3 linked regions of the Arabidopsis thaliana genome follow. The protein of the gene in region 2 interacts with the protein of the main gene of each other region in a pairwise test. Each region holds a gene or a part of one and is shown on either strand. Other genes may lie near its edges.

Region 1 (3,759 bases), 1.4 Mb from region 2:
GATGTTTGTCTTCATCGCTGCTCCTTGCACAACGAACAGTGAAGCCATTTGGGTGAAAACCACAGAGTAGAGGATGGTGCAGAGCCAGATTGGTAAGAGTCTTAATACACATTTCACTTCTTCGACTTGAGTCACCGAGCAGAGCCTCCATGGATCGTATTTCGATCCGCTCTCTACTTTCTCAGCCTCATCATCAGGTGTAACAATAGCAGCTCTATCCAAGAATCTGTAGAAAATAATAGAGAGAGAGTTAACACTGATCTTGACGATGGTTTCTGAGATTATAACAGAACTTTTAATTGGTTATCTTACCTGAAGCCTTTGGTATGAAGAATCTTCTTATCTCCAGTGTATTGAGTCTCAGAATCATAGAGATTCAACTCTTCATGGTGCACATCAATCTTAGCCTTTCTTGTTGCAGCAACCAACACTTGGCAGAATCTAGACCAAGGACTCTCTCTAGGCGTAAAGTGTCGGTACTTTGGCGTGCCAATCAAGAAAAGCACTAACCCCGCAAAAGCAGAGCCAGCAGACGCCCAAAATCCAAGCGGCCATTCCCCTTGATCCTCAAAGTAACCCAAGACAGTATTTGAGAAGAGCGATCCAAGATTCAGAGCCAAGTAAAAGTAACTGAAAAACGCGATTTTCGAGTGTCCTTCAACGGAATCCTCCGCATCAAACTGATCAGCTCCAAAAGTAGCTATGTTCGGCTGATAACCACCATACCCTAACGCGATTAGATACACCGACAGATAAAACAGAACCGTCTTAAACGTCGAATGAGGCTTACACGGCGAATCTTCAACTCCACAACCACTTGGTTCAAGCAATAACGCACCAGTAGATAAAGATAACATCATCAACCCCTATAATCCATTAAAACATGTTAACTTATTGTTAAAGAAACAAACCCTAGAAAAAGACAGAGCAGTGTTGAAGACACTTACTGCAACGAAACTTGCTTGAAAGATAGCACAAGTCTTGTAACGTCCCCAATAAGAGTCACTGAGGAAAGCACCAAGCAAAGAGAAGATATAGACAGTTCCTGTCCATTTACTAACATTATTAGCCGCTTCTGCATTGTCTTGTCCCATCACTCGAGTCAGAAACAGAACCAAATTCACTCCTACACCGAAGAACGCAAGCGTAGCTAGTCCTTGATTCACTATATCAACCAAAAACCCATTTCTTTAGAATCCAAAACACAACACTTTAAGACAAAGAACAGTGGTATATATAGAGAGAAAGAGAGAGAGAATCATTACCTAGAATGAGAATAGCAGTGAGCCATTTGCCGGTATTAGCTCGGATAGCTGGATTGCCGTGACGATCAACGCTACCGTCTTGAGTGCAAACCTCAAACTGTCTAACTTTTTGATCCATAGATTCGATTTGGTGTAGAGATATACTCAAAAAGATTCCTTATCTTGATGATCCTAATGATTATGATGATTATCCAGAGACCGGTTAAAGAGGAAACCGGTGGTTAGAGAACAAAAGGATCGAAAACTCAGGAATCGAGGAAAGTGAAGAAGTGAAAAGAGAAAGATATTTAATAGTGATATTGAGAGTTGCATTAAAAGTGTGAAGAAGAGAGCTTATATTTATAGAGAGCTCAGAAATTGAGTCAGAGAACTCAGAAGAGATCCTTTCTTTGACGTCTCTTTCTTTCTATGGTGTTTAATTTAATCAATTTAATTGTAAAGGTTTTGAAACGGGCTGCTAAAATATATGTTCGGTGGATTTTTCTCGACAGAATTTTGTTATCTCAATAATAATCATATGCTATTTTAATTTTTTAACTAGTTTTTATGAATAAAAATTAAAAGAGATAAATCTAAATGATCTTTTTCGTTCTAAAATATTTATTTAATACGAAAAGTAGTTATGTAAAAATTTTAATTTGAAGAGAATCTGACTTTGTGGGAAAAAAACGGAAATGCCACTGTTATATGCGAATAAAACCATAAATTACGGTATAGGAACTTAAAACGTAGTATTGAAAATTGGCATCCCTAAAATCTATGAAGAAGGAGAAACACCTGGTTAAAGGTAAGCCAAGCGAATGTGTGACCAGTTACACCTGGAGGGCTGCTGGAAGAGACTGATAAAATCAAAAAACATGAGGGAAAATAAAAAGAGTAAAAACCCCAAATAATTGTTCTTAAATAGGAAAAAAAAAAGAGGGGAAAAAGTGAAAGTAAGAAAGTTCCCCACTAAAACAGGATTTGGTGTCTCTTTCAAGCACGCTACGCTCGTGTGTAGCTGTATTCGATTACGACTTTCCTCACTCCTAACTTATATTATAATTGGTTCTATTCTTAATCCATGTTTAAGCCCTAATTTAAGTCTAAATCTTTGATACGTTTTGGTAATTTTCTTTTTGTTGTGTTAGATCCTTTTCTGTGTCTCACATATACTATGTTTTTATCTTTCTTTCTGATTTTTTTTTGTGAACAGAATTGTTTATCTTTCAAAAATAGGATTATATTTGATTTCATATTTGGATGGATAAATACAAACATGTTTGGTATTTGGCAATCCAAACTTTAATTTATACCAATTCGCTGATTGGTTAATTATGAAACCTAGATAAGTGAAAATATGAAATACATCTAAATCTTCTATAGTATTTTACGCAAATCTTATCTGTCGAATTAATGTCTAGATTCATTGAAGCTTGGGGATATTTACAAATTCCAGCTTTTTTACCTAAGAAAGTTAGACCTAAATCTGAATCGAACAATCTAAATTAATACACATTGTGTCAAAAAAATTTGGATCGAAGTTTTAATGATCACGAAAGAACTATGTTCTAGACTTCTAGTAATGTCCTATAACTTTGTTACGTCCTACTAAATTAAGTTAATTAACCATTCACAAGATACTACGTGCATCTTGGTTAAGAACAAGTTTAGGTTTAAAAAAAAAAAATGTTTAGGTTTAAATACTAAATGTAGAACAGTGGTAGTTTTGAACGGACATACCTTGATTTAGGTTTTGATATGGATGATCGGCAGTTGAAGTGTTAATATCGCCTGATTAAAATCCAATTTGTCCACGACAATTTACTAAGCAATACAAAGTCGTTCTCTTTATATATATATTTGTGTTGCATAAATCAAAATTCAATCATAACAACAAATAAAAATATATAATCAAAATCCAACACCTTATTTTAATAGGACTCAAATATGAGTTATAAATTCCTGATTCCCTGAGGATTTAGAGTTACAGTATATATATGAAATATTTCACTTAAGTTTATTTACTCTTCTCATTAGAGTACTTTTCAATTTAAAGTCTATTTACTCTCATGATTAGAATTAGTTCATGAAATCTTTACAAGTCTCAATGATGTAATATAACTATTTGGTTTATCGTGTCTTTGAACTTAAAATCAGACTAATATCTAAATATCTCTAAATCATCACGTAAAGTATGTGATGCGTATACTTGTATGTGAACATGGTAAATGGTTGTGCTGTATTGGAAGGAAAGTTTGGACTATACCATTTGAATAACTATGCGATTATATCATATATCAAAAGTTAATTTACGCCTAACCAATAAATTTTTTTTAAAATGCGAATATGATATAATGTAATATAACCCAACACGGATCCAACCAATCCGACTCGTAAACTTTTTGCCCACCACATCAGTAAGGAAATTTATTCAAAATGGTTAGTTAGATACCGGATATATATAATCTATATCATAAGCTCATGTAAGACATATTCATCATCGCTTCAATGC
Region 2 (3,759 bases):
AGCAACCGACTTTTGAATTATTTGATTTAACTCTTTAAATTATTTCTTAGAAAGAGTTATGGAAGAATTAAAAGTTTTAAAAACATTTGATGCTAATCTAGTTTTTCTTTGGTGACTTTTTTTCAACCAATTTGAGATGTTTTAAATGGGGATCTGACAAGTAACTATTGTACCAGGAATACGCACCATTTCCTTTTTTTGTGCTTATAAATACATATTTATTTATTTTATTTATATAATAATTTGAAAACTTAGAAATTACACTAATTTATTAATTCTTTACTTACAAACAATTGGTTTTAGTTTTTAAAATTATCCAAGGCTGATTTCACCTAATTAAAATAACCATGACTAGATTTTAACCCGCGGACAACTTATTTTTTAAATTAGTATATATAAAAGTTTGCAAATTAAATCTATTTATTTTTATTTTATAGTTTACAATTGTTATTAAATAACGTCTTACCAAACCCGTCTCGCCAAATCCGCCCCGTAAAAAAAAACCGCGGTACACCGCTAATTTAAATATATAATTAAAAGAAATATTTTACGGGATTGCAATTGTATTTTGGTTTGTCAAACAAATATTTGTTTAAAATAGTTGCCAAAATCTAGTTCAAATTTTGGAGAAAAAAGATTTATTGGATAGATAAAGAATATATTTAGGTGGGTTTTGCTCATTTTAAGGGATTGCAATTATATTTTTGTTTGTCAAACATTTTTTGTTTTAAATAGTTGCTGAATATATTTGGAATATTTTTAGTTTATTAATCAATTTATTGCTGGAAAAAAATCAATAATTAATACTCAATGGCAGCCTAGTAAATAAGTCCCAACTCTAAGATTTATTTCACAAAATGGCTGCAAAAATGTATATATAGATGATTCATTATTTCATTTTATGCGGTAGGAGTAAAAACAACATTAACTAGCAAAAACTATAATACACACACAACAGTAACTACTCATCGAGTATGGCATTCATGGATACGAATCAAATCTCAAATCGTATAAGCCTGGCCATTATTTTATTTTACAATATTTGATAATGTGCTACCTAAATATCAAAATTTTAGAATATTCTGAAATAAAATGTCGAATTTTTGTGATAGCCTTAAATTACTACATGCTCACGTATGTAAATTTTCTATTCTTTCATAGTTAATTTTCTATTAAAATGTACAATTTCCAGTTTGATGGTATGAAGATCAACAAAGTACCATAAAAATGTATAATTTCTATTTCTTCCTAATTAATATTCTTTAAAGTGTAATTTTCCAGTTCATCCTTGTTAATTTTCTTAAATAATAAAATGTAAAACTTACAAATTTCACGGACTTTATTAACAGAAATGTAAATAATTGTAAATAAATGTAAACATACTGTGTCACAAGAAGACATGACAAAAAATAAAAACAGTAGAAATAAACTTTTTTCTGGGTGCGTGTGGTAAAACAAACATGGGGACTGATCCAATGAAGTTTATCGCAATTTCTGGAATTTCAGTCGGTGTATTAATCATCATCGCACTGATAGTGGCTTATGCCTGCTATCGTGCCCGAAAGGAAGGACCAGTCAGAGGCGACGGACGACTCACACCTATTGTAATGATGATATGATATATCACCTATTTTCGATCTTTTTCTAATAATTTATTTTATGATGCAACTTTTTAGATTACTATATACTATAGAAGAGCATATTGTAATTCTATTTTACCTATATAATAATAAATAATATTTCGGCGATTTTGTCATATGCTGGAGTGTTACATTAGATGATGACTAGTAGGGTTTTTTTTTTTATGTGAAAACAACAATCGTTGTGTCATATAACGCGAAGTGACAAACAAACAATTCGAAATATTAGCAATGTTACAAAATTCGAAATATACGCAATGTTATGGTGGTGTTGACCGAAGGGTAGTTTCGTAACTTTACATCATCGCGTGGTCGTATACGCGCCGATGAGATCACAGACGGCATTAATGGGCTCCGGAAGAAGAAACAAATGATTAATTTAAGGAATAAATTACCACTAAATTCGTTTGATTATTTCCGGAAAACAATTAACTAATAAAACTATAACTAACCTTTGTTTAATTTTTTGATTTCGCGTCTTCACTGTTGTGGATTTCTTCTGAATCTTCTGAGCTCGCTTCACCTACAAGAAGACAACAAGGATCATTTTCTCTAGGTTCGTAGATTCTCTTTCTTCTTCTTCTTCGTTTGGATCTGCTTAGTGAAGAAGATAATCTTCTGAAAAATTGTTTGTTTTTTTTCTGAAAATCTGAATACGTAATGATTTGAGCTGAATCTGAGTTAGATTCACATTTATATTCTGGATTTGTGCTATTTGATGATTTATTAGATCGATCATCTTGTTTTCTTCTTTCGCCTTTAAGTATGTTTGCTCATAGTGTTGCTCTTCCAGATTCCAGATCCTGAAGAAGGTGAAATCTTATCTGTGATCCAGTGGAAGATTGAATCAAGTAACAGATTCACTTAGTTCACTTGCGTATTGCATGCCCCTGAAGATAACATTTTGAATAATGTTGATATTGAATTATCACCTATAAGCTCTGGTTCTTGTTGCTTGTATTGGTTCTGGGTATCTACTAGTGAAGAAACCATGGCTTTTGGTTCTCCTAGGAATAATTCTATATTAGCTGCGGCTGGATTTCCTCGGAAAGTGTCTACAGTTGCAATTGCTATTGGTGGTTTGGCATCATTCTTTGTTTTCGGATTGTTGCTTCGTCTTTCGTATCCGAATAGTTCTTCAGTTGGTGGCATATTTTATGGGATAGGGAATCCTGAACAAGTTCATGTCCCTTTATCTTTGAGCAACCATACTGTCAATATCCTTCAGAAGAGTAGTGACATCAATGCGTTTGATAAAAATCTGACTTCTGATTCTAGCTCTGGCTTACCTGTTGTTGTTAGCAAAAGTATACCACCTCCAGATTTCAGTAGTGATAGGAAGTTGGAGACACCTTTGACACAAGAAAAAGAGGATTTGGTTTCTTCGGATATAACTGAAAAGACTGATGTTCAATCAGGTGAACGTGAAACCAATGTTTCCAAGGCTGAAGACACTCCAAGTGCATCATCTCCTCCAGATGATGTCTCTGAAACTGCTTCAGCAGAACCAGGTACTGTTGTTATCTTTTAAACGCTTATTTCCGTAGCTTTTGTCGTATTTGGAACATTTTGAGTTATGGTAGCTTAAATTTCAATAAACAAAGACTAAGCTAGTGTGGGAATGTTATAGAACATTTAGTTTTGCATTTCTATGGAAAGGCGTAAGTTTCTGAGAAGTTTTAAAGAAATTCAGCGGCTAAACTCTTAGCTATAGACCTACTGTAATTATTCTAGCCGAGGACTGAATATAGCAGATTAGAGTAAAAACTTGGTTAGGGAGCAGATAGTGAGTGCTGGGCTTGTAAGGTGGTCTCAGCATTTTGTTTTAGGGGTTAGAGTTTCTAGGCTTTGTGGGCATTTGGTTGAGAGTTCTACCTGTTTTGGTGAATTGGAATAAGAAGAGCAGTTTCATAGATCTGTTCTTGTCAGTTTCCCTTGCTTCTCATGATTCTAGCTGTTCGATGTTTTATATTTCTGTTATGAGTTTGTCGCTTACTCAAATCTTTGATTGCTTGTAGAGTGTGATTTGTATCAAGGTAGTTGGTTTTATGATCCTGGGGGACCTCTCTACACGAACAACTCTTGCCCTGTCCTGACGCAGATGCAGAATTGCCAGGGA
Region 3 (3,759 bases), on a different chromosome or scaffold from region 2:
CGATGCAGAGGATTGAGATTGGGAGAATGTACCGGGTTTCCCGTTTGGATCGGCAAGGTCTAATCGGATCCAAATTTGGGGCACAGAGATTCGGGTTACCTAAGAAACTGGGTCGAAAAATATCTTGCTGAAATCCAGAAGGAATCTTACCATAGAGTTTGTTATCGGAGACGTTGAATTGATTAAGCTTGAGCCTCAACAGCTCCGCCGGAATCTCACCGGTGAGTTGGTTGTTAGAGAGATCCAGGTAGTTTAAAACCGGTAAATCACCGAGTTCCGGTGGTATCCCGCCTCGTAAACGGTTGTTGGAGAGATTTAATTCGGTTAACTCGGTGCACGAACTCACTGAACTCGGAATCTCGCCGTCGAGCATGTTCTCCTGCATCTCTACTCTCTCTAGATTCTTCAATTTGTTGATGCAAGACGGAATTGATCCTAAGAAACTGTTGCGGCTAAGATCGATGACTCTGAGATCACGGAGATCACAAAGTTTGACGGGAATCACACCGGAGAAGTTGTTAGCGGAGATTTCAAGCTGAGATAGATGACGAGCTTTGGAAATCGAAGGAGGAATCGAACCTTGTAATTGATTGTTGTTGGCTAGCTCAAGACGAGTAAGAGGAAGTTCCCAAAACCTAGCCGGAACTTCGCCGGAGAGTTTGTTATCCGCCATACGAATGTAATTAAGCGAATGACAATCGCCGTAAGATTCCGGAATTTCGCCGCTTAATTGATTGCTGAAGGTGATAATCTTCTGAAGTTTTCTTCTGTAGCACAAATACGGCGGCAATTCACCGGAGAATCTGTTCGTCGAGACATCGAATTCAGAGATTTCTGAGAATTTCCCGAGATTCCTTGGTAACGTCCCCGTGAAACTGTTGTTGAAGATTTTGAATTCAACGAGATTAGGATTCAAAGCTACGACATCTGGTAATCCTCCGGTGAAGAAATTATCATTGAGATTGAAAGAGATAAGTTGCAGAGCAGCGATCTTTTCCGGTAGTTCACCGGTTAGATTATTCTGCGAGACATCAAAATTCCTCAATTCGGTTAAATTTCCGATACTCTCCGGTAATTTTCCAGATAACCGGTTATCGTAGAGCTCAATCTGGTAAACCGATTCGAGTCTTCCGATACTCTCAGGTATTTCTCCGGTGAGACTATTCATAGCTAAATCAAGATTCTCTAACAACACCAGATTCATGATCGAATCAGGAATTTCTCCGACGAGGTTCGAGTGAGTTAGCCGAAGATCAGTCAGATTCGACAAGTTCCCCAAGGTTGATGGAATCGGACTAGGATCAAAACTGATGTAAGCGAGATCAAGACGAGTTAACTCAGTCAGATAACCCAAAAACGCCGGAACGATTCCACTGAGCGGGTTACCATTAAGATTCAGAACTTGCAGAGCAGTGAGTCTCCCGTAACTTTGAGGAATCTCACCGGTGAAGAGGTTTGATTCCAATTCGAGGACTCGTAATTTACGAAACTCCGGTGAGAATTCCGGTAATTTACCGGAGAAGTTGTTTTGATTGAGAATCAAATTCTGAAGTTTAGAACAGAGGGAGAGAGGAGCAGAATCAATCGTACCATTGAGATTGTTTTGAGAAAGAGTGATGTTGATGAGTGTACGGATACGACAGAATCCGTAGGGAAAGCCACCGGAGATATTATAGCCGGAGAGATCAATGGTAGTGACGGCGAGGGAGCTACCTTTTCTGATGTGGCATGTGATTCCCGTCCAATTACATGGACTCCGATTATCTCCGGTTATGACCCAATCTTGTAAATTTCCATCGGGGTCGAAAAGTCGGGTCTTTTTAACTCTACTCAATATCTCAGCGTCTCCATTGGAAGAAACTTGGAGAAAACAAGAAAGAAGAAGTAAAGAGAGAAAGAAGAAGAGATTAGTATTGGTGAGCATCGTGTTGGGAAGAGAGGTATGAAACACGATGAAGGAGGTGAGATTGTGTTCATAGAATGGGTTTTTGAAAAGAAGAAAAAAGTTGAGTAACGTTTAAAGAGTTTGAGATTGTTATTTAAAGATGGACGGATTTGCTGGTTTTTTTTGCTTTCTTTTGATTCACATGGGAAGTAGGTTTAAGTTTGAGTGACAGTTTCTTTCTTAAGTGTTTGTTTGGAGTCTTTTAGCTTAAAGAAAAGTTGAGAAAAGGAATCTAGAAAACTTTTATTAGTGTTCACTCTTTTTTGAAAACGCCAACGTTATCTCCCTTTTTTTGTAGTTGGGTAGATGAACCTAATAATTTAATTAATGTATGGTAAAATCGACTAATCTAGAAAGATCATTCGTTCATACGTTTGGTACAAATTTGCTTATCGGTAAGTTTTCATTATAAGAGGAAGGAAAATAACAGTATGATTGTGAAAAAAGTGAAGTGCGAGCAAAGCGTGTGTTAAAATGTCCAAATCTCTTCTTTTTTTTGTTTTCACCTAGCACAGATAAGCAAAATGCAGAGCACAAACAGAAAACATGAATATTAATGTACGTTATCATAATAATAAGACGTATTTTGCGTGGACGTATTGTAACGTTTCACTCTCTAATTGTAAGCTAGTGGTATTAGTGTGCGTGAATTTTCATAATCATAGTTGCATTCTCCTAGATTCTGTACGTTTTTTTGGCTTCTATTGGTTGTTTAATGCATAGGTTTGCGGTTGACATATAAAAACAACATGCTTGACTTCAGAGTCTTTCGATGTTTTTGATGAAGTCAGAGTTCATTGTTGTTTAATCAATTACTCCTGCAGTTATGTTGATGGTTAATTGAACAACAGTTAGAGTAGCTTTGAGTAGGAGGTTGGTAAGTGTCTCTTAAATGGATGTATTTAGTTAGAACAGAGAATGTTAGGTAATGTGTAGACTTTGTTTGATCAACTCTTCTTTAGTCATCAGTTAGGCGCAGTTAATGTCTACTCTTAAAATTAATAATTTAACAGTGAAATGAGACTTTTTACACTCGCAGTTTTGTTGTATCAATGTTTTCTTCATTACTAAAGTTTGATGGCAAGTGTAAAAGTTAACTTCGGAATTAAATGGAAGGAAGCCATTTGGGGAGACACTAGAACCACATTCACGTATGACTCATCGGATTTTGAGGCTTCTCTACTTTAATTAGCATTCAACGGGAATGACATTCACGTATTATTTAACGGGAATGACATTTGCTTTATTTTCATTTTTTGTTTGCGTTGGAGTATGCAATTGCCGGAAGACACTCTTCGTCGCCGTGAAGACACTTCTGTCTGATTAAATATGTACTGTTATAGGCAACATTTTATCTTTCCCAAAAACCCCATCCTAATTTTTCTAAATTCATATAAAAATTCGTTTTTAGACTCTTATAATTAGCCACTATTATAAGAAGTACTCCATAAAAAGGGGGAACAAGTTTGTTTAAAATCCTCAAATTTTATTTTTAAAATGGATGAGAGAATATAATATACTTCTTCCGTTTCATAATATAAGTTATTTTGGACCAAATTTTTTGTTTCACAATATAAGTTGTTTTCAAATTTCTATTATATATTATTTTAATGTTTTATAATTATTTCTATTATGCAGTGTCTTTTATGATTGGTTAAACTTTTTAAAAATAAATATTCTTAATCTGCGTGCTTTTAGCTAAAACAACTTATATTGTGAAACGGAAAGAGTACCATATATACTAAATCTAATCGAAATATCCGATTACCCAAAAATACATTGGTTACTACTCTTTACCCAAATATAACCAAAAT

What was found.
Region 1: the proteins of TBL18 (region 2) and NRT1.8 interact in a protein complementation assay, tested with the Arabidopsis thaliana proteins (one large-scale study listed by BioGRID).
Region 3: the proteins of TBL18 (region 2) and HSL2 interact in a protein complementation assay, tested with the Arabidopsis thaliana proteins (one large-scale study listed by BioGRID).

Annotation. Positions count from the first base shown.
Region 1 is NC_003075.7:11,518,194-11,521,952, forward strand, and holds the start of NRT1.8 (NITRATE TRANSPORTER 1.8), read right to left. Parts: upstream 1,613-3,759; 5' UTR 1,384-1,612; coding exon 1,266-1,383; intron 1,166-1,265; coding exon 948-1,165; intron 867-947; coding exon 313-866; intron 227-312; coding exon 1-226. UniProt on the Arabidopsis thaliana protein: Low-affinity nitrate transporter. Involved in nitrate removal from xylem sap. Not involved in oligopeptides transport.
Region 2 is NC_003075.7:12,967,556-12,971,314, forward strand, and holds the start of TBL18 (TRICHOME BIREFRINGENCE-LIKE 18), read left to right. Parts: upstream 1-2,003; 5' UTR 2,004-2,196; exon of another isoform or gene 2,197-2,433; 5' UTR 2,434-2,631; coding exon 2,632-3,151; intron 3,152-3,658; coding exon 3,659-3,759. UniProt on the Arabidopsis thaliana protein: May act as a bridging protein that binds pectin and other cell wall polysaccharides. Probably involved in maintaining esterification of pectins. May be involved in the specific O-acetylation of cell wall polymers.
Region 3 is NC_003076.8:26,290,537-26,294,295, reverse strand, and holds the start of HSL2 (HAESA-like 2), read right to left. Parts: upstream 1,925-3,759; coding exon 1-1,924.